3 linked regions of the Drosophila melanogaster genome follow. Changing the gene in region 2 together with the main gene of any one other region gives a genetic interaction. Each region holds a gene or a part of one and is shown on either strand. Other genes may lie near its edges.

Region 1 (6,641 bases), 9.7 Mb from region 2:
AGCTTCAACGTTATAGATTTGGCCAGGACACCAGCGGAGGAACCACGATCCCGACGGCCAATCCCCGCACCGAACACTCCTTCCGTGCTAGCCGGAAGTGGATCGGCGGTGGGCGTGGCCGCAAGGAACGGCCAACCGGGGCGTCATTTGGGATATGAGCCGCGCCGGAGCCGGCAGTCTGCTGTGCCCGGAATTCGTGGGGGAATCGTTCACGGGACCGACCAGCAGCCCCTGCCGGGCGGACGCAGTTGACTAGTGGCGGACAAAACTTTCAAAGCAATCGAAAGCGAAACCTTTGTACACACTTAATAGATTCCTGCGGGTCGAGTTCGTGGTCAGTTCGTCGTCAATGCTCAGTGTCCAGTAATCTTTTCGTTTGTTTTTTGGATGAGAAAATGAGGGAAACTTAAACGGCTCGGTAAAAAAGAAAGGCGTGGCAGCGCGCTAAACAAATTGCTCTGAGCTGTTGGCGGACAGCTCCATCAGCCGCCAGGCAGCCTTGGGGTTGAGTTCGTTGCGGTCGCGGCACAGCACCCAGACGTAGTGAACCCGCATCACCTTCTCCGGATCTCCCTCGACGACCTGACTCTTCTGGTCCCGCACGCACATAATCTGCTGGGCTTGGAACGTGATAATCAGTACCGGGCCCTGCTCCATAACCTTGCCCATTGCCAGTTCAATGTTCTCGATGTCGAGGATCTTGGAGTCCAGGTACACGCCGGCCTTCTTAGCCTCCTTAATGGGATTTGCGATAATATTGAAAGTGCTCTCAAAGCACCAATCCTTCAGAATCTCCAGATCCCCACGGACAATCGATTCCAGAATATTTGGAATGATGTCCGTTTCGCAATCGCGGAGGAAATCCTTCTGATCAAAGCTCGGATCGATTTTCACCAGCTCCGTCATCGTTTCCGAAAGCTCTGTCTTTGAAAAGAGTCCACCCATGACGTCGGACACTTTATCGGTCAGCAGGCGGGAGGCACGAATAACAGGGTTCTCGGACTCGTCGTATTTAACCTTCCAGTCAAGCACCTTGTTCACGTAGGTATTGTTGTTCTTGAAGTTCTCCCACGACTCGTAGAACTTGGAGTCCTTGTGCAGCTCCATACCTGAAAAGTAACATTACATTATGGCCATGACCTTTGATCTTATTGAAGGAAAAAGATGGAGACTCACCAGTGGCTTCCGTGTTGGGCTCCACAACGCGATCACTATCGCTCATGACGAGCTGGACGCGCTTTCGCAACTTGGCAGGAGCACGATAGACACGATTCTCTATGCTCGCGCTGTCCATCTCCTTCTTGATGGTCGTCGTCGTGTTAGAGATAGCCTGGAATGCGCTGGTCTGGCCCAGCTTGCCACTGGTGTCGGAGATCGTGTCGCTGACCCCCCTAGCCTTCTTCGAGAGCTCCTCGGTAACCTTTTTGGCCAGGTGGGATTTGCTGGCGTCCTCCAGAACATCGCCTACGCGCTCCTTGATGGCGCCCAGCTGCTCCTTTAGCATGCTAGACGACTTTTGCGCCTCCGATTCGACAATGTTAAACTTTTGCCGCGCCGATTTCAGGGCATCCGATTCTTCCAGCTTCTGGGCCTCCTCACGGAACTTTCGGATATTGTCCTTGATCTCCTTGTTCTTATCCATCTCCGCCTTCATGTTGTCGAAGAACTGCGAGAAGAAGCCGGCCCTGCGACCTGGCGCACTATAAAAGCGGGGCTGCGGAGTAAAGTCATGACTTAGGCCGGTTGCGCCATGGGGTTTTATGAGCCAAACTCTAACCTGCTGCTGCTGCAGGTTCTGCGAGGCCTGCTGGCACGTGAAGAGACAGGCGCGATCCCGCACAAGGGCAGCTATTCTGTACTGCAAGGAGAAAAAATCATTGAAAGCTTCGACCGTTTTAACCTCGAAATATGCACATGTAAGGACGGATGTGAGCGAACGCCAGTGATGACCGGGATCAGAGGTAACCTACCATGGTGGGGATTAGGTGACCGTTCGCAGGTAGTTTGATCGGAGCGAATGTTCGGGGGGTCTGGCGTCAGAGGCTCTAAACTTTATGTAATTCCTGCCGCGAAACACGCACGTATCAAGCAGTCAGCTGTTCTCTTCGTTCAGCGCGCGCCGGTGTTGCAAAACGAGCGCTCTTCGCCGGCGGTGGCTCGTGCGATAGTTCGTTTTGTCGGTAATCCGATGTTGCCGCGCCGATATCATGTGATGTTGTCACAGTGCGCGAAATTCGAATGGTGGTGTGCAGTGATTGTGTTGTGACGGCGAGTGGCGCGTGTGGGTGCTTAGTTTTGGGAGATGTTTTCGTATTTTTTTGTTGATAACTCAGGCTTTGTTGCTGTGTTGTAGTACTATTTTCCATTGCGCGGTGTCCAGCTTTTAATTAGTGGCACATATTCTTAGCAAGTAAAAATTATTTTGCATACTATTAAATTTCTTATAAATTATTTTCTAAAATTAAGTTTACCTTTTCAATTTTACTAAAAATATCGATATATTTATTATCGCTGGAAAACTACATTATTCCACCTCTAAGCAAGAACCGTTAGTTGGCGCGTAGCTTTACCACAAAATTCCTGGAATTGCCGTACGCTTCGCAGTTGTTTCAAGTTGTCTAAGGGACATACGATTTTTTTTGCCTCTGCGTCACGATTTTAACCCAAAAGCGAGTTTAGTTACATGTACATTATTATTAGATAAAGAAGTATCGCGAATACTTCAGTTGAATAAACTGTGCTTGGTTTTTGGGTGAGGATTTGTGGAAAGTAGAGTGCGCGATAACCGTAACTTTCGACCCGGATTTTCGCCATGTTCCGCAGCAACTTGGAGGGCAGTGGCGCAGCAGCAGTAGGTGTTGCAAATCCCCCCTCGTTGGCTCAGTCTGGAAAGATTTTCCAATTGCAGGATAACTTTTCTGCTTTTCACGCCAGAGGAGGGCTCAACATTCTGGGCCTGCAGGACATGTATTTGGATACCAGTGGGGCCAACTCGTCGGCCACTTTGAGTCCGCCCATTACGCCGGTGACCCCTGACCCGTCGACGTCTGCGCAGTCGACGCACTTCCCTTTTCTGGCCGACAGCGCAGCCACCGCCAATTCGCTCCTTATGCAGCGACAGTACCACTACCACTTGCTGCTCCAGCAGCAGCAGCAACTGGCCATGGCGCAGCACCAATTGGCGCTGGCTGCATCAGCGGCAGCGGCTAGTGCGAGTCACCAGCAAACGGACGAGATTGCGCGATCCTTGAAAATCTTTGCGCAGGTGACGACGGGCGCAGCAGGTAAGAAGAAATGGCGAATATGGCGTCGTTTAAAACAGAATAGCCAAAAACAGTGCGCGGGAGCGAGATGACTATCTGTACAAGTACAGTTATGCCAAAGTCAATGGCCATGGGCTTAGTTAAAGGGGCAACGAAAGCACAGAGCAAAACAGAAGTAAAATTGTGTAAATGTATAATTGCTGCAGAGGTCAGAGGATTTTCGCCATTTAGTGTAGTATATTTTTTATTTTACTATTTTGTATGTGCTTTAAAATATATCTTTGCCCAACACTTGTATCCCCTTCAAGAGGTTTTTCGAGCGCCCCTGAATTTTCGGCCATTGACCTTAGCATTTTCGCTATTCCTTTTTGTTTTAACTTCGGAAAGCCATTTTGCGTCTTACATTTTCTAGAAGTTCTTTGCTTTTTCTCGTCTGTTCTTGTTTTTTTTTTGTATGCAAAAACTAATCCGTATTTGCTTATTACATTTCTGAAATGCAATTGAAACGCGAATAATAAAAAAAATACGTTCAGGACAAGGTAATGAAAAGCTTGCTATTCCCAGAAAATGCGGCTGGCTCGATGCAGGATGTGATGCAGGAGTTCGCGACCAATGGCTATGCCAGCGATGATCTCGGTCGCATGTCCTACGGGAGTGCTCCGCCACAGGTGCAAATGCCACCGCAGCAGCAGCATCAGCAACAGCAGGGGCTGCACCTGCCACTGGGCCGCAATCCTGCCCAGCTGCAGACCAATGGCGGCAACTTAATGCCCATTCCACTCGCCACCCACTGGCTGAACAACTACCGGGAGCATCTGAACAACGTGTGGCGAAACATGTCGTATATACCAGCCGCTCCCAATACAATGGGTTTGCAGGCCCAAACAGCGGCCACTGTGTCCACCAATCTCGGCGTGGGAATGGGTCTGGGATTGCCCGTGCAGGGCGAACAGCTGCGCGGAGCTTCCAATTCCAGTAACAATAATAACAACAACAACAAGGTGTACAAGCGTTACAACAGCAAGGCCAAAGAGGTGAGTGGATCTGATCCAGGATTCGCAGAATTAAAACTTGCAAAATATATTTGTTATCTTGTTTCTCCAACAGATCAGCCGCCACTGCGTCTTTTGTGAGAATAACAACGAACCAGAGGCGGTTATCAATAGCCACTCAGTGCGAGATAACTTTAACCGAGTGCTGTGCCCCAAACTACGCACCTACGTGTGCCCCATCTGCGGGGCATCTGGGGACTCGGCGCACACGATTAAGTACTGCCCCAAGAAGCCGATCATCACCATGGAGGATGCGATCAAGGCGGAATCGTTCCGCCTAGCCAAGAGCAGTTACTACAAGCAACAGATGAAGGTTTAGAGAGGGCGAATCCAGCTCTGGAGCAGAGGCTCTGGCAGCTTTTGCAGCGTTTATATAACATGAAATATATATACGCATTCCGATCAAAGCTGGGTTAACCAGATAGATAGATAGTAACGTTTAAATAGCGCCTGGCGCGTTCGATTTTAAAGAGATTTAGAGCGTTATCCCGTGCCTATAGATCTTATAGTATAGACAACGAACGATCACTCAAATCCAAGTCAATAATTCAAGAATTTATGTCTGTTTCTGTGAAAGGGAAACTAATTTTGTTAAAGAAGACTTACAATATCGTAATACTTGTTCAATCGTCGTGGCCGATAGAAATATCTTACAATCCGAAAGTTGATGAATGGAATTGGTCTGCAACTGGTCGCCTTCATTTCGTAAAATGTTCGCTTGCGGCCGAAAAATTTCGATATATCTACAATTGATCTACAATCTTTACTAAATTTTGAAAAAGGAACACTTTGAATTTCGAACTGTCAATCGTATCATTAGAATTTAATCTAAATTTAAATCTTGCTAAAGGAAATAGCAAGGAACACTTTCGTCGTCGGCTACGCATTCATTGTAAAATTTTAAATTTTGACATTCCGCACTTTTTGATAGATAAGCGAAGAGTATTTTTATTACATGTATCGCAAGTATTCATTTCAACACACATATCTATATATATATATATATATATATATATATATATATATATATATGTTATATATTTATTCAATTTTGTTTACCATTGATCAATTTTTCACACATGAAACAACCGCCAGCATTATATAATTTTTTTATTTTTTTAAAAAATGTGTACACATATTCTGAAAATGAAAAATTCAATGGCTCGAGTGCCAAATAAAGAAATGGTTACAATTTAAGGAAACAAATGTCCTTCTTGCGTTTGAAACAACTAATCCTTTTCGCCCTCGCGGCGTTTCTCGAAAAGGGCCAGGAAGATGCCATCGGTAAGATCACTGTCCGGCTGGCAATACAGGACGTTCTTGCCAATATTGGGATAGTCCTTGTCGCCCACATTGTGCCACTTGTTGCGCAAGGCCTTCTTGCAGCTGAGCAGCTTGAAGGATGGATTTAGCTGAAGACAACGCTGCACCACCTGCTCGTTTTCCTCCTTCCACAGCGAACACGTGCAGTAGGCAATGCGTTTGACGTTCGGAAAGGCGCCCATCGCGTGCGACAGGATCTTAATTTGCAAACCCTGCAGCTTTTGCAGCCGCTTGTCCTCCTTCGGCTCGTCGCACACGGTCATGCGGTTTTGCATTCCGCTGCCAGAGCAACTAGGGTCCACCAGGATGTACTCTACGTCCGGAAAGCGTTCGGGTGCTGAAATTCAAACGTGTTACTTTTTTAAATATTCATTGTGAAATATATAAATATAAAACTCACTTAGGTTCAAGGCGTCTCCCAAAATGGGTTTTACAATATCGCAACCAGCATCCTTTGTTATTTCGCACAGCGTATTGTAGCGTACGTGGTCCTGCTCCACGGAGTAGATGCATCCCTTGTTCTGCATCACATTGCATATGTGCACTGTCTTCATACCGGGAGCTGCGCACATATCCAGCACAGTGGCCCCAGACGGCGGAGCAAGTAGTTCGGCGGCCAAACAGGTGGCCTTGTTCTGCAGTATAAACCTCTTGCTGTGCACCAACGGATGGCGGACCCAGTAGTTGGACCACTTGGCAGGAAAAATGAGCACACCCTCAACGTGCAGATCGGTCATGAACTCGTTCTCCGCCAGCGATTTGATGGCAGTCAGAAAATCCGCATAGCTGGCGTCCGCAGGCAGCTCCTTGCGCCGCCAGTCGCTTTTATGCAGGTAGTCCAAGGCCTCCGCCAAGCTGTATAGATTTGTGTTGATGCGCACATATCGAGGATTGGGTTCTGTGTGGGCAAACAAAAAGACGAGTTCAAAATTGTAGCCAAAGTAAGATTTATTAAGAGTTGTTAAGAGTCGTTACTGGTCCTTTAAACGATCGAAATAATCTG
Region 2 (7,998 bases):
GTTTGAGTCATTGATCTCTTTTTCCCATTTTTTTTTGTGTTGCCCGTCTGGCTGTGTGCATGCAGTGGTGCGTGTGTGTTTGTGCGAGTAAGCGCCTAGTCACAGTGACTCAGTGACGTGCATTAATTCCTGCCTAATTATGCGTTTAATTTATTTTAATCAATCTTAATTAATAATTTACTCCACTTGCAGCCCATACACGCACAGTCACCCACACAAACACACGCAACAAGCGTACGGAGAGAGAGACTGCATCTGCGGGCGCTTCACAAGAGAGTAAGCATCGATCGCGAGAAAGAGACTGTTACTGTGACATTTGACTACGGCAAATCGAAAACGGACGCCACAGCCAAATGACGGAATACAAACTGGTCGTCGTTGGAGCCGGAGGCGTGGGCAAGTCCGCGCTCACCATCCAGCTAATCCAGAACCATTTCGTGGACGAGTACGACCCCACAATCGAGGACTCTTACCGAAAGCAAGTGGTTATCGGTGAGTTATATGTACTTAGATCTGGCAAAGCTAGGGCTGCACAGGTCCAAATACTCTAGAGATTTCTGCACCCTTTCGCTGGTTTGGTTTCCCGTTTATACTAGAAGAGACCTTAAGAAGTTGCGATATTCAAATGCATTTTATATTCCCCTGCAGATGGAGAGACCTGCCTGCTGGACATCCTGGACACCGCCGGCCAAGAGGAGTACTCGGCCATGCGGGATCAGTATATGCGGACTGGCGAGGGATTCCTGCTGGTCTTTGCCGTCAACAGTGCGAAGTCCTTCGAGGATATCGGCACCTACCGTGAGCAGATCAAGCGCGTAAAGGATGCCGAAGAGGTGCCCATGGTGCTGGTGGGCAACAAATGTGATCTGGCCTCGTGGAACGTTAACAACGAGCAGGCAAGAGAGGTGAGTACCGGCCTTCAGAGTTCCGAGCGAACATTCCGTTAATTATGGTTGTTCTCAGGTGGCCAAACAGTACGGCATTCCATACATTGAGACATCCGCCAAGACGCGCATGGGCGTGGACGATGCATTTTACACACTGGTGCGCGAAATCCGCAAGGACAAGGACAACAAGGGGCGGAGGGGCCGCAAAATGAACAAGCCGAATCGTAGATTTAAATGTAAAATGCTCTAAACGGCCACGCATTGGTTATTATTCACTTTTTATTTCTTCAAATGTCGCCTGTTTGTCTGTATGTGCGTCGGCGAATCGCCGATCGTCCTGGGCTCGATGGTTTGTCCATTTTGGACACACAATGCGAAAAACACACACATGTGGGAGCGTGTTGGTCGGTGCAATTGTCAGATAAAAGAAGAGAAATTGTAATTAATTTAAGTAACTAGAGTTTTATGTACGTCGAAATGATTTTGTGAATGTGTGTGTTTTGTGTCGTTTGAAAGGCTGCGAGGCGCCCTTTTAAGAGTATTAACAATAACAAGCAAACAAAAACGAACGAAGCAAATCGAAAATGAAAATGAATATGTACCTCTACATAAAAACTATGAATACTGTTGTAACTGCCTTGGTTCAGCTGCTATATCCGTTTGTTTTCAACCAGCACTTAACTTGATTCTATGTTGTTTGTACTTCAACAGATACTCCGTGCTTAAAACCGAAACGCGATGTAAACAAATATTGTGTATTTTTACAGCCCTGTTATCTATTGGTTTCAACCCGACAGTCATACATAAATGTAATCTTTTTTCGCACACACGCACGAGCAGAATTCCATTAGTATTCATCATTAGAGAACAAACAAGCAAAAGCCGATAAGCTCACAGCAACTTTCGCACAAACGAGTAAATTCGCTAGCCCCAAACTAGATTTATGTTCGGTTAAACACATATCTGTGGTGCTACGATGATGAAATTATAATCCGTATGAGTTCTTGAGATTTGCCTTTCTTTCTACTTACCATACTGACAGATCAATCGGAGAGAAAACAAACAGCCAATTAAATTTACATTATATAGTTTGCTTTAAGCTTTTTATACATACATACATACATTTAATATTTAATTTTTTGTATTAATTTTTGCCATACAAAAAGAAACGAAATAAATCGATTGTGTGTACTATTTATGAAAAGTGGTTTTAGTTATTCCATAGTTTTGCTTTTGTGGATTCTATTTTTCCATCTAAAGTCTCCTGTCTTGTTGAGCCAAATATTCTATTATTTGAATTTTTGCGTTGCGCGCGTAAATTGCAGTATGCCTACATTTCGATAATTCGAAGAGCATTTTCGAATATCGGCGATGTCTAGTCGATAGAAATCTGAGACACGTCCAAATATCAAACCATCGATGAATGTGCTGTCATCGTATCACTGTCAACTCTAACATAGACTTTTGTACGGTTTTCTATTGATCTCGGAAACTGTAGTTTGTCACAAGCGTTTGTTCATTGTATAAAATTTACTACGCCGAAAGCAGCAAAATAGAAATATTACCAGTATTAAGAGCACAGCCAACATCAAAAGGTAAGCCATAACGCTAGCATAGAAAAGAACATTTGGCGAAAAAGTCGATTGACGCGGTCGCCATTTTGTTTTCGCGGACGCCGCTCCGGGTGTGTACTACTACGAATATTGCAAGAACTACAAAACGCATTGCGAATCCCTTGCAGACAACAATGAGCATGGACGCTAGTAACTCGGTGGAGAGCCGCGAGAAGGAGCGCGACCGTCGTGGACGCGGAGCACGTGGCTCCCGTTTCACGGACGCTGATGGCAATGGAAACGGCGCTGGTAGTCAGGGAGGTGGCGTCGCTGCTCGCGACCGTAGCCGGGAACGTCGCAATTGCCGGGTCTACATTTCGAACATTCCATACGACTACCGTTGGCAGGATCTGAAGGATCTGTTCCGCCGCATCGTCGGCTCCATTGAGTACGTCCAGCTGTTCTTCGATGAGAGCGGCAAGGCTCGCGGCTGTGGCATCGTAGAGTTCAAGGATCCGGAGAACGTACAGAAGGCCTTGGAGAAAATGAACCGCTATGAGGTGAATGGCCGCGAACTGGTGGTCAAGGAGGATCACGGCGAGCAGCGCGATCAATACGGACGCATTGTGCGAGATGGTGGTGGTGGTGGAGGCGGCGGTGGCGGCGTACAAGGAGGCAATGGTGGCAACAATGGAGGAGGTGGCGGCGGTGGCCGTGACCACATGGATGACCGCGATCGGGGTTTCTCCCGGCGAGACGACGACAGACTGTGAGTATTCCCTTTACGCTTATATCCTATACGTATGTGCACTTTTTTCCGATATTCTGGAGCAGGAAAGCTGAGTTCATGGCACGCATATACTATTCAATTTTTAGAAACTTGCCAGCTGGCAGTGGTTCCATTTTAAATGTATCAACGATTGCGGCTCTGCATTGATTTTTCATATATATGTATGTAGGTCAGGAATATTGCATTCTAAAGTTCCTATTATCACGTACGAACTGAATTTTTTATTTTAAGGAGTTTCCTTTGTCGTTTGTGCATCATTTAGGTGACAACCCGATTTACATTCAGCCCAGGGTGCGTACTGCGAGTTAATCGTGGTTCCTTAAGGGTTTCGTATTAAATTTAACCATATTTCTTTCGAAAATTTTACTGATCGCTGATATAATAAATATAAAATTTTATTCAGGGGAACATGCCGAAAATTATCATTAATATTAGCTACGAGTTCAGTCGTACTCTTCATATCAGTTAGTTGTAATGCAAATATATATATATATATATATAATATATGCAGTTTGTGTTCATCTGATTACAACGAAATCTCCGTTCTCTTAGTTCTCTAAATGGTTATCTAGTGATTTTTTTCATTATTAAAGTGCTCCGTTTCGATCTCAAGTCAATTATTTATGTTTAGTGTTGAGTTTGAAGGTTGATCACAGCAGGCGTTTGCTTTTTTGCTGCTGATAGAATTTTATTTGTTCAAATTGTCTAAACGCTCAAGGATTTATGGAAAGTCTGTCAAATACATCGGAGTAACAGTTTTGTGCTGTTTTTGAAAAAAAAAAAAAAAAAAAATCGGAATTCAAATTTAAAGATAGTTTAAGACAGGACCTGAAGAGAAAAAAAGGGTATAAAATGTTTAACATAAGGGAAAATGTGAACGCGTCGGAATATCCTGCGGCTCTCTTGGAAACCCACTTCTCCGTAGCTGAAGTTTACTTGTGCCTTTTGTTATCTTTCTCTGGAAATCTGGCTTCTCTTTTTCTAGATCTGGGCGTAATAATTTTAACATGATGTCAAATGATTATAATAATTCGTCGAATTACAATTTGTATGGGCTTTCTGCTTCGTTTTTGGAGAGTCTTGGCATAAGTGGACCTTTGCATAATAAGGTTTTTGTTGCTAATGTGAGTATATTGTAATATAAAATTCCAATAATCCTATGTATATTATTCAACTGGACCGGACCACACTACAAATATGCTGCGTTCTGTTCTTGCTTCGGGGTCTCTGCTTCGTATTTATAACCCGCCTAGGTCACATCATCCAGAAGATACTGTTTACTTGTTTAAATTCATCTCAGTCGACCCAAAGTAATGACAACTCCACGGTTTCCTTTCCCTTTTGACATATGTTCGTTCCTTTCCCGTTTTCGAAAATTCGGATGGAATCGTATACGTTGATGTGTTTGAAAGACTGGGTGGAACTACTTGGAAGTCCTGGGAAACACACTGAATACTCGATGTGACATACACATACCCTCTTCTACATCGCTACACAATGAATATATTTTAGTTGATAACATAACTGCAGAATGGACCCTAAGTATTATATTTTCTACTCAGAAAGCGGACTTAAGCGGCAACAACAAATTGGGCTACGTAAAATCTTGTTTTCGATATATCACATATTTTGTTTCGGTTAAGTTGTTTAATGATAATTGGTTAGTTTGTAGTTGCAATGACTCTTGGAAGGTCCTTGACTGTTTGTTGGTTGCAGCGTTTTTGCCTCTTTTACACTTTTCACATAAGATGTTCCGCGAAAACCACCTCGTTTTCAAGGGTTATAAATATGAAGCAGTTACGGGTGTTTTAAAATTCGACGTCGTCTCTGGGCTATTCCGTTTGGTTTCTGGGCACGTGTGCGGGACTGATTCTCCTGAGATTCTCGTCTATCGTCAGCATAGTTTTGCAGCATGGTTTTGTCAAAGACAGCAGTGGTATCAACATTGGGCAACTTTCGAACCTATTTCAGTGGACAAACCATGGGATTGACAAACTGCTAATTTCGCTTTCTTAAAACTCCCTGCAGCTGGACTACAAGGTCGACAACAAGAAGCTCAAGCAGGTCTTCAAGCTGGCCGGCAAGGTGCAGAGCGTAGACCTTTCACTGGACAAGGAGGGCAACAGCCGCGGTTTTGCTGTGATCGAGTACGACCATCCGGTGGAGGCTGTTCAGGCCATTTCCATGCTGGATCGTCAGATGCTATTCGACCGTCGTATGACCGTGCGCCTGGACCGAATTCCGGATAAGAATGAAGGCATAAAGCTGCCCGAGGGCTTGGGAGGTGTGGGCATCGGCCTGGGACCCAACGGCGAGCCACTCAGGGACGTGGCTCACAACCTTCCCAATGGTGGTCAGAGCCAGGGCCAGTTGCTTGGCAACGCTCAGCAGGGATCTCAGCTGGGATCGGTGGGTAGCCAACCAAACAGCAGCGCTGTTAGCAACGCCACGACAAACCTGCTTAACAACCTGACCGGCGTTATGTTTGGCAATCATGCGGCAGTGCAGCCATCGCCTGTAGCTCCGGTGCAAAAGCCTAGCCTAGGAAACAATACCGGTTCCGGCGGATTGAACCTAAACAATCTGAATCCCAGCATTTTGGCTGCCGTGGTCGGCAATCTTGGTAACCAGGGAGGGAATTTAAGCAATCCCTTGCTGTCCTCTTCGCTGAGCAACCTGGGTCTCAATCTGGGCAACTCCGGCAATGATGACAACCTGCCGCCAAGCAATGTGGGTCTTTCAAACAACTACAGCAGCGGCGGCACCGGTGGTGGCAATAGCTATAGCTCTGGAAACAACTACAGCGGCGGTGGCGGCTCCAGCAATTTGGGATACAATGCTTACAGCAGCTCTGGTGGAATGGGCGGCGGCAACGGAGGAGTTGGTGTTGATGGCAACGATTACAACACTGGCAATCCATTGGATGTCTATGGCGGCGGCAGCAACGTGGGCAATTCCAACGTTGGCTCGGCCAATGCTGTCGGTGCTTCTCGAAAGTCGGACACGATCATTATCAAGAACGTTCCAATAACCTGCACTTGGCAAACACTGCGCGACAAGTTCCGAGAGATCGGGGACGTTAAGTTTGCGGAAATCCGTGGCAATGATGTGGGCGTTGTGCGTTTCTTTAAGGAGCGCGATGCCGAGCTAGCCATTGGTAAGTAATACTCAAAAGGCGATTCCTTTATTTTTGCTGAACTCCAATGTCTTTTCAGCGCTTATGGATGGCTCCCGTCTGGATGGGCGCAACATTAAAGTAACATACTTTTAAGTCAGGCAATTCAGTTCAAAAGTTATTCTACGTTTCTTGTCGCCAATTCACACTTCAAACAGCGCGATGACCAATGAAATGAGCTGATATTCCTTATTTGACTCGCAATACGGAATTAATTTTGCACCCACTTATTTGAATAACTTTTATATATTTTAACGCATAATATTATACCAACTAATATGAATTTTGACGTTCCAAAAAAAAAAAAATGCCCCAATAAAACCGAAGACGCGACTCAAATTATTTTTAAGTCTTTGAATTAAACGAAATAAAGTAATGTAAACCCTGAATTTCAGTGGTCATGTTTTGTGTTTATTGAATTTTTGCTTAATTACTACAAGCATTGGTGGCTTTGGGGTTTGATACATGATAGGGCCTACTCCCGAAATGATTTACAATTGTATTTGCTTGCTTAAATAATTATATTCGCTTTTCTTAATTTGTGGACGGGGCTGTTTTGAATCTTTCCAAGCGAGCGCGCGCCTTCTCTGACCAGGCGTCCTTGGATTCAGTTGTGGTAGGCGTGGTGGTAGCTGCTGAGACTGCTCCTGCTCCAAATCGCTCCTTCCGTTTCTGGAGACGATCATCGGCCTTTGAGGTCGGTGCTTTGTCAGGCACCACGAATCCGAAACGCTCGGCACGTTTTTTGAGTGCCTCCTTTTGCTGCTCCTCGGTTTCCTTGTTACCTTTGTTGGCCGTAATGGAGGCACTAGAGGATTTATTGATGGCCACTGCCACTGCGGTTGCAGTGTTGGCCACAGCGGGGGGTGTTATGCCAAACTTTTTGGCCCGCAGTTCCAATCGCTCTTGTGCAGTCAGCTGGTTAAGTTTCTTGTCGCCTGATGGCTTCTCTCCTTCCGTCTTTGGTCCGACCACAATCGGCTTATGCTTCTTGGTAGGAGTTTCGCCGGTGGAGTCACTAGCAGCTGCAGCGGGCGCCTCGTTCTCCTTCGATGGAGTTGTCCCCGTGCTGGCTACCGTGCCCGTCGACTGCTGGGAATTATTTCGCTTCAGAACTATTTTCTTGGTCGGCGCAGCTGCATCTGGGGCCGAAGACGTCTTCTCTTCCGCTAGAAGGTCCGGAATGGCCACAGTTGTGGGTGTGCTAACCGGACTTTTCAGTAGCTCATCGTCGTTCTCATCGCCCAGCAGCTTGTGCTCATCCTCGTCGGTGAAAGACACATCGTCGTCGTCAATGGCATCTGCTATGGCCGAATCCTCCAGAGAAAGGTCCCCCTCTAATAACGCGGTCTGCAATCGGTCCTGCAGTTCGGTTTTATTTCCATTCACGGCGAGCCCTCGAAGCTTCAGCTCGCGCTTCAAATCCGCCACCTGGAAAGGAACACATAATTGGGATCATCTCCTAATATTAATCTTTTAACTTACCTTCATTTTAGTCACGTCGCTTTCAGGCATTTTCTCAATTGTCGAACGAAATTTACTTAAATGTTGTCAACACCCCGTACAGTTAGTTAGTGATGAGATAGTTGCTGA
Region 3 (7,752 bases), 5.1 Mb from region 2:
TTTTTAAACTTCCCAATCAAATGAATAGTGATCTGAAGGAGAGTGGTTCCGGAGCCAGAAAAGACGACGCCGCACCGGCAGCCGGCGATTTCGTCGCCGCTAGCGGATTCGCTCCCAATCGTTGGGTCAAACTGAACGTGGGTGGACAAATCTACGCCACTACCATCGACACTCTGGTGGGCAGAGAACCGGATTCAATGCTTGCTAGGATGTTCCTGCAAAATGGCAGCATGAAGCCCAGCGAGCGTGACGAGCAGGGAGCATACCTGATTGATCGAAGTCCTCGATATTTCGAGCCGATCATCAACTACCTCCGCCACGGACAATTCGTATGCGATTCGAACATCAGTGTGTTGGGTGTTTTGGAGGAGGCGCGGTTCTTCGGAATCTTTTCGCTTGTCACCCATTTGGAGGAACGCCTGGGACAGCAGGAGACGCCGCTGGGGGACAGACCATTGACGCGCAACGACGTCATCAAGGCCATCATTCAGACCTCCGTGATAACGGAGCTGCGCTTTCAAGGCGTTAATCTGTCTGGGGCCGATCTACGAAAGCTAGATTTTCGCAACATTAACTTCAAGGTGTGCGCAAACGAATTTCATTTCAATGCATACATTGTGTAATACAACATTTTAAGTCTTTCCAACGCCGTAACACGACTGCATTTTAATATTATTGTAGTTTGCTACGCAGTAAAGGAGATATTTTCGTCCGGAAAAAAATGGAAAATTATTGGTGGAGATCTATCAAGTTGAAGACAATAATTATACTAAAGACTATCCCTTTTCCTTCACAGTATGCCAACATGTCTCACTGCAATTTGTCCCACACCAATCTTAACTACTGCTGTCTTGAACGGGCGGATCTTCAGTACGCAAACTTGGAATGTGCCCAACTAGTGTCAGTGCGGGGACTTTGCGCCAATATGGTAAGCACAGGTTTAACAGAAAACGCTATTAAATAATCACATCATTTGTGAAACTAGTTGTAACAGATTTACGCCATCCAATTAGCTAAGAAAACTAATCTGCCTAATCTTTCAGGAAGGTGCAAACTTGCGTGGGTGTAATTTTGAAGACCCAACAGGAGTTCGAACTAATCTAGAGGGTGTTAACCTCAAAGGAGCATGTTTGGAAAGCAGCAACATGGCCGGTGTTAACTTACGTGTGGCAAATTTGAAGAACGCCAATATGAAGAACTGTAATTTGCGAGCTGCGGTGTTAGCAGGTGCCGACTTGGAAAAATGCAATCTTTCTGGCAGCGACTTGCAGGAGGCAAATTTGCGTGGGGCAAATTTAAAGGACGCGGAGCTTACCCTAATGGTGACCCCATTGCACATGTCACAGGCCATACGATGATATCTTGGTTGGCACCTATCACTAATATTACTGTTATTGACTGTACATACTTAAAAGTTTAATAGTAGGTTATAAAATAAACAGTATTAGGATTGAATTTCTAAAGTCGTGTGTATTATTCTTATTCCTTACTCGTAGAGTAAAAAAGTATACTAGATTCGTACTAGAAAAGTATGTAACAGGCAGATAGCAGCGTTTCCGACTATATAAGGGATATATATTATATATAATCCGGATCAATAGCCGAGTCTATCCGTCTGTCCGTATAAACGTCGTGATCTCAGGAACTATAAAATCTAGAGGTTGGGATTAAGCATACAGATTTTAGAGACGCGGCTCACGTTTGTTGACCCATGCTGCCATGCCCATTCTAATGCCCACAAACCGCACAAAACTGTGACGCCCACACTTTTAAAAAATGTGTTGATATTGTTTCATAATTTAATTAGTCTTGAAATTTTCTATCGATTTGCCAAGAAACTTTTTACCACACCCATTCTAACGCCCTAAAAACGCATTCCCACTGGCTGAGTAACGGGTATCTGATAGTCGGGGAACTTGACTATAGCGTTCCCTCTTGTTTTTTTTAATGAAATTTCGCGTTCGCATTCACACTAGCTGAGTAACGGGTATCTGATAGTCGGGGATTTCGACTATAGCATTCCATCTTGTTTTTTTTGTTTATTACATAGTCTTAGTCGCATCACTAAAGATTCTTTTATATTTTTATATAAAACATTCCTTAGGGACCTTGCAGAAGAGTTACATTTAGAAAATCCTAAGCCGGGGCAGGAGCCTGTGTTAATTATAGTTTATCCTTCGATTCCTTTATCTACAAGAAACATAAATAAAGAAAATAATATAAAATTTATCTATTTTTAGTTTTTAATACCTTATTCGCAGTGATCACAGCTTACAATTTTACCGAACTATCTGGGTGGTACTCGATGTTTATTAAAATAATATATAACAATTGAAGCGAAAAAAGATGATGGACTTGCATGTAGATCTAATGTATATTGTCGGTGGCGTGTATAAGCTCAGATGTATAACTTTTATTATATTTTTAGCTAGAACCATCGCAAGCAACTCTATACGAAATGTATCGATGTATCGCATCGGCGATGTTTTTTTACGTCACCAGAGAAACGTCAATTTTCAAACGTGGTTTGTTGGAAGCCAGCGGAGAACGGTAGACGTTGCTTGTGAACTGTGAACTGTGTAGCCGTAGCCTGAGCCGGTAAAAAATTGTGAGCAGAACTAAAACACAATTGGCGAGCGATTCGATGGAGGACCAAAGCAACGCAGCCCCCGCTGTCGCCGCGGAGAACGGCGGAAACACCGCGCAGGAGGTGTCTTCGACAAGTAAGTGGCCTGCCCTACTACCCCGCCCGCTCGCCGACGAAAATTGCGTGTAATTCTCGCGAGTGCTGGTGATTCCATAAATGTTTTGCGCCGCGCCGCGCCTTGCTCGCTGGGCATCCAAAGTGAATACCCATGTTCCAGAGGGGCAGGTGCCCGATTCAGCCATTTTCTAGGTGCCAGTGTAGAAGCGGAAGATTGTCGAATTCCGCCATATTTATTTCTAGGAGACCCTAGCTGTAAATAAGAGTTGCCGAAACGCCGAAGTTGCTTGTTGTTGACACTAATTACGTCATCTTTGCGCGCATTCTTCCCACAATTACAAAAAGTGAAATGAATCATTTTCGGTGCTCTTGGCCGATTTCGATTTCGAGATTCTGTGCTCGCAGTGTCAATTCACCCGCTCGCTTGCGCCCCGCGCTGCCCGACACCACTACACGCTCGCGGCACTGCTCATACGAATACATATTAATTGAGAAATTCGCGAGTCGATGCGCTCATCGCCCAGAAATGTGTGCGTGCGAGTGTGTGCGTGTCGAAGCGTTGCCAACTTATTGGTCATGCGTTAATATCGGGATATGGGTTCTTAATTTGTATTTCTCATTGAACCCGCCAAGAAAGACGGCCGAAATAGTTTTAGCGGCCAATTCATACTTCAGTTTCAATTCAACAAGCGCACACACATGCATGTTGACGTGTGTTCTTTAACCAGCACAGGTGGCAACCCTGCCGTCCCGATTTTGCATGCAGATTTTTGTTTTCAATGATACGGGCCGGCGTTTGCTGGTGTATGTTTGGGTCACTTTCACATCTGATTACTGGGCGTGGAAACCGGTATATCAGCCGCGGTATCACTTTTAGTCCAGCGCCAACTAGCGTGATAACACGCGTTCATTACAGACGATAAGGGCAGCGGCTGTGTTGCTATTCAGCACATTTGATTCGCACTTTTACAGTCAACCTCCCCTAACAAAAACTAACATGTCCGAGAAGTTGGGGAATCGCTTGGGTCCGCACGTTATCATACCTACAGATCAGCTCTGGAATGGAATGTGGCTTGATTTAATGAAGGCTAGCTATCACTAACACAAATACAAATGAGCTCACCGCTGCAATAAACTAAAATATGTTTCTTTTAGTCATCTGTTTATGTTATTGGAGCATATTATTGTAACAAACATGTCGTTACAGCTCAGCCCATAGAGCCCACAAAGCGCTCGCTGCGCGTGCAGACCTGGAAAAAGATCCAAGAGGGCAAGGTTGGCATTGGATTCAACAACATATTTAACCGAATTCCTTCGTTCGTGGGTGCCGATAAGGCTGCTGCCTTGTTTGCCAATGAAGAGGAGTTCAAGAAAGCACGTAAGGGAGTACCACAGCCCCGTTTTCAGTGCACCAATTATCACTCTTTCCCGTATTGCAGAGCACATCAAGGTGAACATCGATCGCGTCTTGCATGAGTTTAAGGAACTGGCATTGCTGGCCGACAAGTCCGTATACTTGCCCAGCACCCGCGAATCTTCTGCACTGTGCCTAAAGGTAGATGTGCTGGCCGATGCCACCGAGGAGCAGAAAAAGGAGGCTCTGCGCGTTCAAGATATTCAAAAGTTTCGCTCGGAAATTGGATTGGACAGCGGTCTGAAGCTGGACATCGTGGTTATTGGCTCTGTTGTAGTGTCACGCGAGGGTTACCGCATTGGACGCGGAAATGGTTTCGCTGATCTGGACATCGGCCTCCTTATTGAACTGGGAGCCATTACACCGAAGACAATTATTGTCACAATCGTGCACGACATGCAGGTGGTGGACTCACTGCCCCCGAATCTATTCCAGAAGTACGATACGCCAGTTGATATCATTGCAACACCCACAGAAATAATCAGGGTGCCAAAGCGCTTGTCTTTCCCCAATGGCGTTTACTGGGAGCTGCTGTCCGAGCGCCGTCTAAAAATATTGCCCGTGCTGCAGCAGCTTAAGGAAAGGGAGGAGAAGGCGGGAAAATCCATATCCCTCAAGGAGGAAGACACCGATGTGGAGCAACATCAAAACAACAGACGCCGCCGTGGGCCTGTGCGCCGGCGCATCCAACGAGGAAACCCAGGTCGCACCACTTCGCAGACTGACAACGAACAGCCGCAGGGCGTAAGTCGAATCCACCACACTGTCGGCACTATTGAGTAACTTTTAACTCTGCATTTTTAGGAGACTGCTCAGAAACGCACTCCGCGGCGCAAAGGTCGTTTCGTCAATCGCCGCAGACGTACAACTAAGGTAAGTAGCTTAAATATGACAGCCGAAGCCAGCCTAATCAACGTAATTTTAGTCTGAGGGCGATCAGTCTGGTGTGGAAGCAGGTGCTAAAACTGATGATCGTAAGTTACCAGAGGCTGGCACTGATGAGCGTCGTTCAAAGAAGAACAAGAACAGTGATTTTTGCATTAAGTTGACAAATCTGTCTCGTGATATTCGCGTCAAGGACTTAAAGTCGGAGCTCCGCAAACGCGAATGCACTCCGATGTCAATTTCTTGGAAGGGTATGTCACTTATATTTGGTTTAAAAGCTCTACGCTAACTATACCTTCTCTTTAGGACACTTCGGAAAGTGTTTCCTGCACTTTGGAAACCGCAAGGGGGTTCCCAGTACCCAGGACGACATGGACAAGGTGTTGAAGTCTCTCAACGATCTCTCGCTCACCATTACCACTGGTGGCGAGACAGCCCCAGCTGCCGCCGCAGGGGAGGGCGGTGAGAAAGCAGAGTCAGCTGAGACTGCAACGCCTGTGCAGACCAAGACTATTCTCGTCAACGTAGAACTGATCCAATTTGGCGAGAAGAAAAGTGCTAGCTCCACTGGTGCCAATGCCGGTGCAGGCGAGGATGGAAAAGCAGACGCGCAAAACGGAGGGGAGGCCGTAACTGTGGCAGGAGGCGACGTGGGTGGTGCACGCATCGAAGCTGTCGACACCACCACAGTATAGTATGACTTTGCGCTTGGCGCAGCCAATGAACGGTCGCGGCGGACTTCCGCCGACAGCGCAATGTTTGGAGTTCAACGAAAAAAAGTAACATTTTGTTTAGAAAAAATCGGGAAATACCAAACAAAAAACAAATAGAAAGCGAACTCCGAACAAACACAAAGTACACTCAAAATACACACTCACTAAATACACGCTGGCAATTACACTTGTGCATACACTGAATATCATGTTTTGCAGCTTGTAGTTTCTTCTTCTCCGTCATTATTCTAACCAACAAGAAAATCAAACGCAACTCTTTCTAACGAGAACACAAATCATTGACGCTTTTTCTAAACAATTGCATTTGTTTTTTGCCTAAGAAAATTAAAACGATTGCAGAAATACTCGTTCCACAAATGCAAAGTGGAACACCATTTCTTCTAAATAATCCTTTTACTAACTTCTTGTGACTTGTTACAATTCTGAATTAGAACTTCTGAATATTTGTTAATTTGATTTCACACCTCAGCAATAAGATCGTTTTGCTGTATCTCTGTTAAGCAGTTGAGCTGCTAGTAATAGGGCTTGAAGTTGAGTGCGTTGAAGTTGAAGTAATGTTCTAAAATGTAATACTAATAGGAATGCCCTATAAATGAGAAATACCGCGAGTAAGAAAAAATGAATTAACAAAATATTTACATGTTGCATTTGGTTAGTCTTTTCCAACTTTCACCGCAAACATCAATAAATTTAATAATATTTTTAACAGAAGAACAAGAAATGTGTGAAAGCAAGAATTATACAATGCAGAACATAATTATACAAGGCAGAACATAATTATTTACCCTTTTTTTATACACAAAAGGCATTACAAAAAAAAAATATGAAACATGAATGAAATATAACTTGAAATAAAAATTAAAAAAATCGTAAAAATAAACTTGACCGAAAATTACCCGTTTATTTTGCTTTTAGACTTAAATCTAATATGTACAAAGGTAGCTTAGACCTATTTTATTTAAAAGTTATAAAATGTCATAGTTCTGTATATAATATGCGCATGTACACAAAATGAAGTTTACAGGAGTTCGAAAAATAGGTTCTGGTCTTTATGGATGGATGGCTGACAAGTCATCGTTGCGCAAGTGGGTCTGGTTCTTGTGCAGTTTGAAACCTGTTGCTTATCAACCGCGTCCTAGGTTTTATTTTTGAAACGGACTCTGCGGCATGTCAAGTCTGCTGCCAGCCGATTCTTTAATCTGCGGTGAAGGAGTGCGATCAATGAACTCAATACTCTCGCCCTTTAACTGGGCGACTGCGGATGATGCGGTCGCACAGTCGCCGTCGTGCACAACGCAGGCGGCGGGTTTCTCTTGGATGGGGGCCAAGCTGTTCACGATGGAGTTGGCCATGGCCAGTTCCAGTTCGCGCTGCCAGTCGTTTTCCTTTTGTTCCATGGCTTTGCGCTTCAACTCCTTGTAGCGGTTGTAAACGATGAACTCTTTGACCAGTGCAGTCTCTGGATCGCTGTCGCGTTGTGCTGACCTCTGCTTGGCCAGGCGCTTCTTCTTTTTATGCAAGGGCCGCGATTCTACAATCATTTCCTCCAGTTCTAGGCAAGGATCACAGTTGAGGTGGTCTTCGGGAGGTTTATAGATGGGTTTGATCTTCTTCTCGAGCACCCTCTGGAAGTCAATGTTGCGCAACATGGGCGTTTGATGCAGCTCCTGCCTTGTACTGATCCTAGCACCCGGATAGGTGGAAAGTAACTACAATAGTCATAAAGTGTGTGTTAGTGTGTTAAAACAGTGCGATCCAACCCACCCTCTGCAGCAGATCGACGAAGTTGCTGCTCCAGTAGCGCGGATAGTGCACGGGGGTGTTCAATATATTCTTGATCTCCGCTAGTGGGGTGTTCGAGTGCACAACGAAGGGTCGGATGTTTCCCCGCATTTCGTAGGCGACGACTCCAAGTGACCACCAGTCCACCGGATAGCTATAGCCAGCTGAAATTATATGGAGACAAAAGAGTACTCTATAAGCGATGATAGCCTTGGAATTTGGCCAGGCGATGG

Evidence for each region.
Region 1: of rump (region 2) and nanos, changing one enhances a phenotype caused by changing the other (phenotypic enhancement), as found in Drosophila melanogaster (2 studies listed by BioGRID).
Region 3: of rump (region 2) and lost, changing one enhances a phenotype caused by changing the other (phenotypic enhancement), as found in Drosophila melanogaster (one study listed by BioGRID).

Annotation. Positions count from the first base shown.
Region 1 is NT_033777.3:19,154,689-19,161,329, forward strand, and holds nanos (nanos), read left to right. Parts: upstream 1-2,549; 5' UTR 2,550-2,812; coding exon 2,813-3,284; intron 3,285-3,827; coding exon 3,828-4,297; intron 4,298-4,370; coding exon 4,371-4,634; 3' UTR 4,635-4,921; coding exon of another isoform or gene 4,922-5,017; 3' UTR 5,018-5,514; downstream 5,515-6,641. Other genes in the region: CG11779 (uncharacterized protein), read right to left, coding at 445-1,109, 1,177-1,714, 1,778-1,858, 4,922-5,017; Nsun5 (Nop2/Sun-like domain containing protein 5), read right to left, coding at 5,545-5,975, 6,039-6,536. UniProt on the Drosophila melanogaster protein: Maternal RNA-binding protein that is required for germ cells proliferation and self-renewal. Acts by forming a complex with pum and brat that regulates translation and mRNA stability.
Region 2 is NT_033777.3:9,504,647-9,512,644, reverse strand, and holds rump (rumpelstiltskin), read left to right. Parts: upstream 1-2,320; 5' UTR 2,321-2,482; intron 2,483-2,628; 5' UTR 2,629-2,634; coding exon 2,635-3,209; intron 3,210-4,215; coding exon 4,216-4,354; intron 4,355-5,258; coding exon 5,259-6,387; intron 6,388-6,445; coding exon 6,446-6,501; 3' UTR 6,502-6,792; downstream 6,793-7,998. Other genes in the region: Ras85D (Ras oncogene at 85D), read left to right, coding at 354-492, 649-905, 964-1,137; CG8149 (uncharacterized protein), read right to left, coding at 6,940-7,836, 7,891-7,920.
Region 3 is NT_033777.3:4,400,558-4,408,309, forward strand, and holds lost (lost), read left to right. Parts: upstream 1-2,518; 5' UTR 2,519-2,644; coding exon 2,645-2,723; intron 2,724-3,911; coding exon 3,912-4,082; intron 4,083-4,143; coding exon 4,144-4,862; intron 4,863-4,922; coding exon 4,923-4,991; intron 4,992-5,043; coding exon 5,044-5,254; intron 5,255-5,309; coding exon 5,310-5,698; 3' UTR 5,699-6,625; downstream 6,626-7,752. Other genes in the region: CG14647 (uncharacterized protein), read left to right, coding at 21-581, 797-928, 1,044-1,358; CG32944 (uncharacterized protein), read right to left, coding at 6,880-7,446, 7,502-7,683.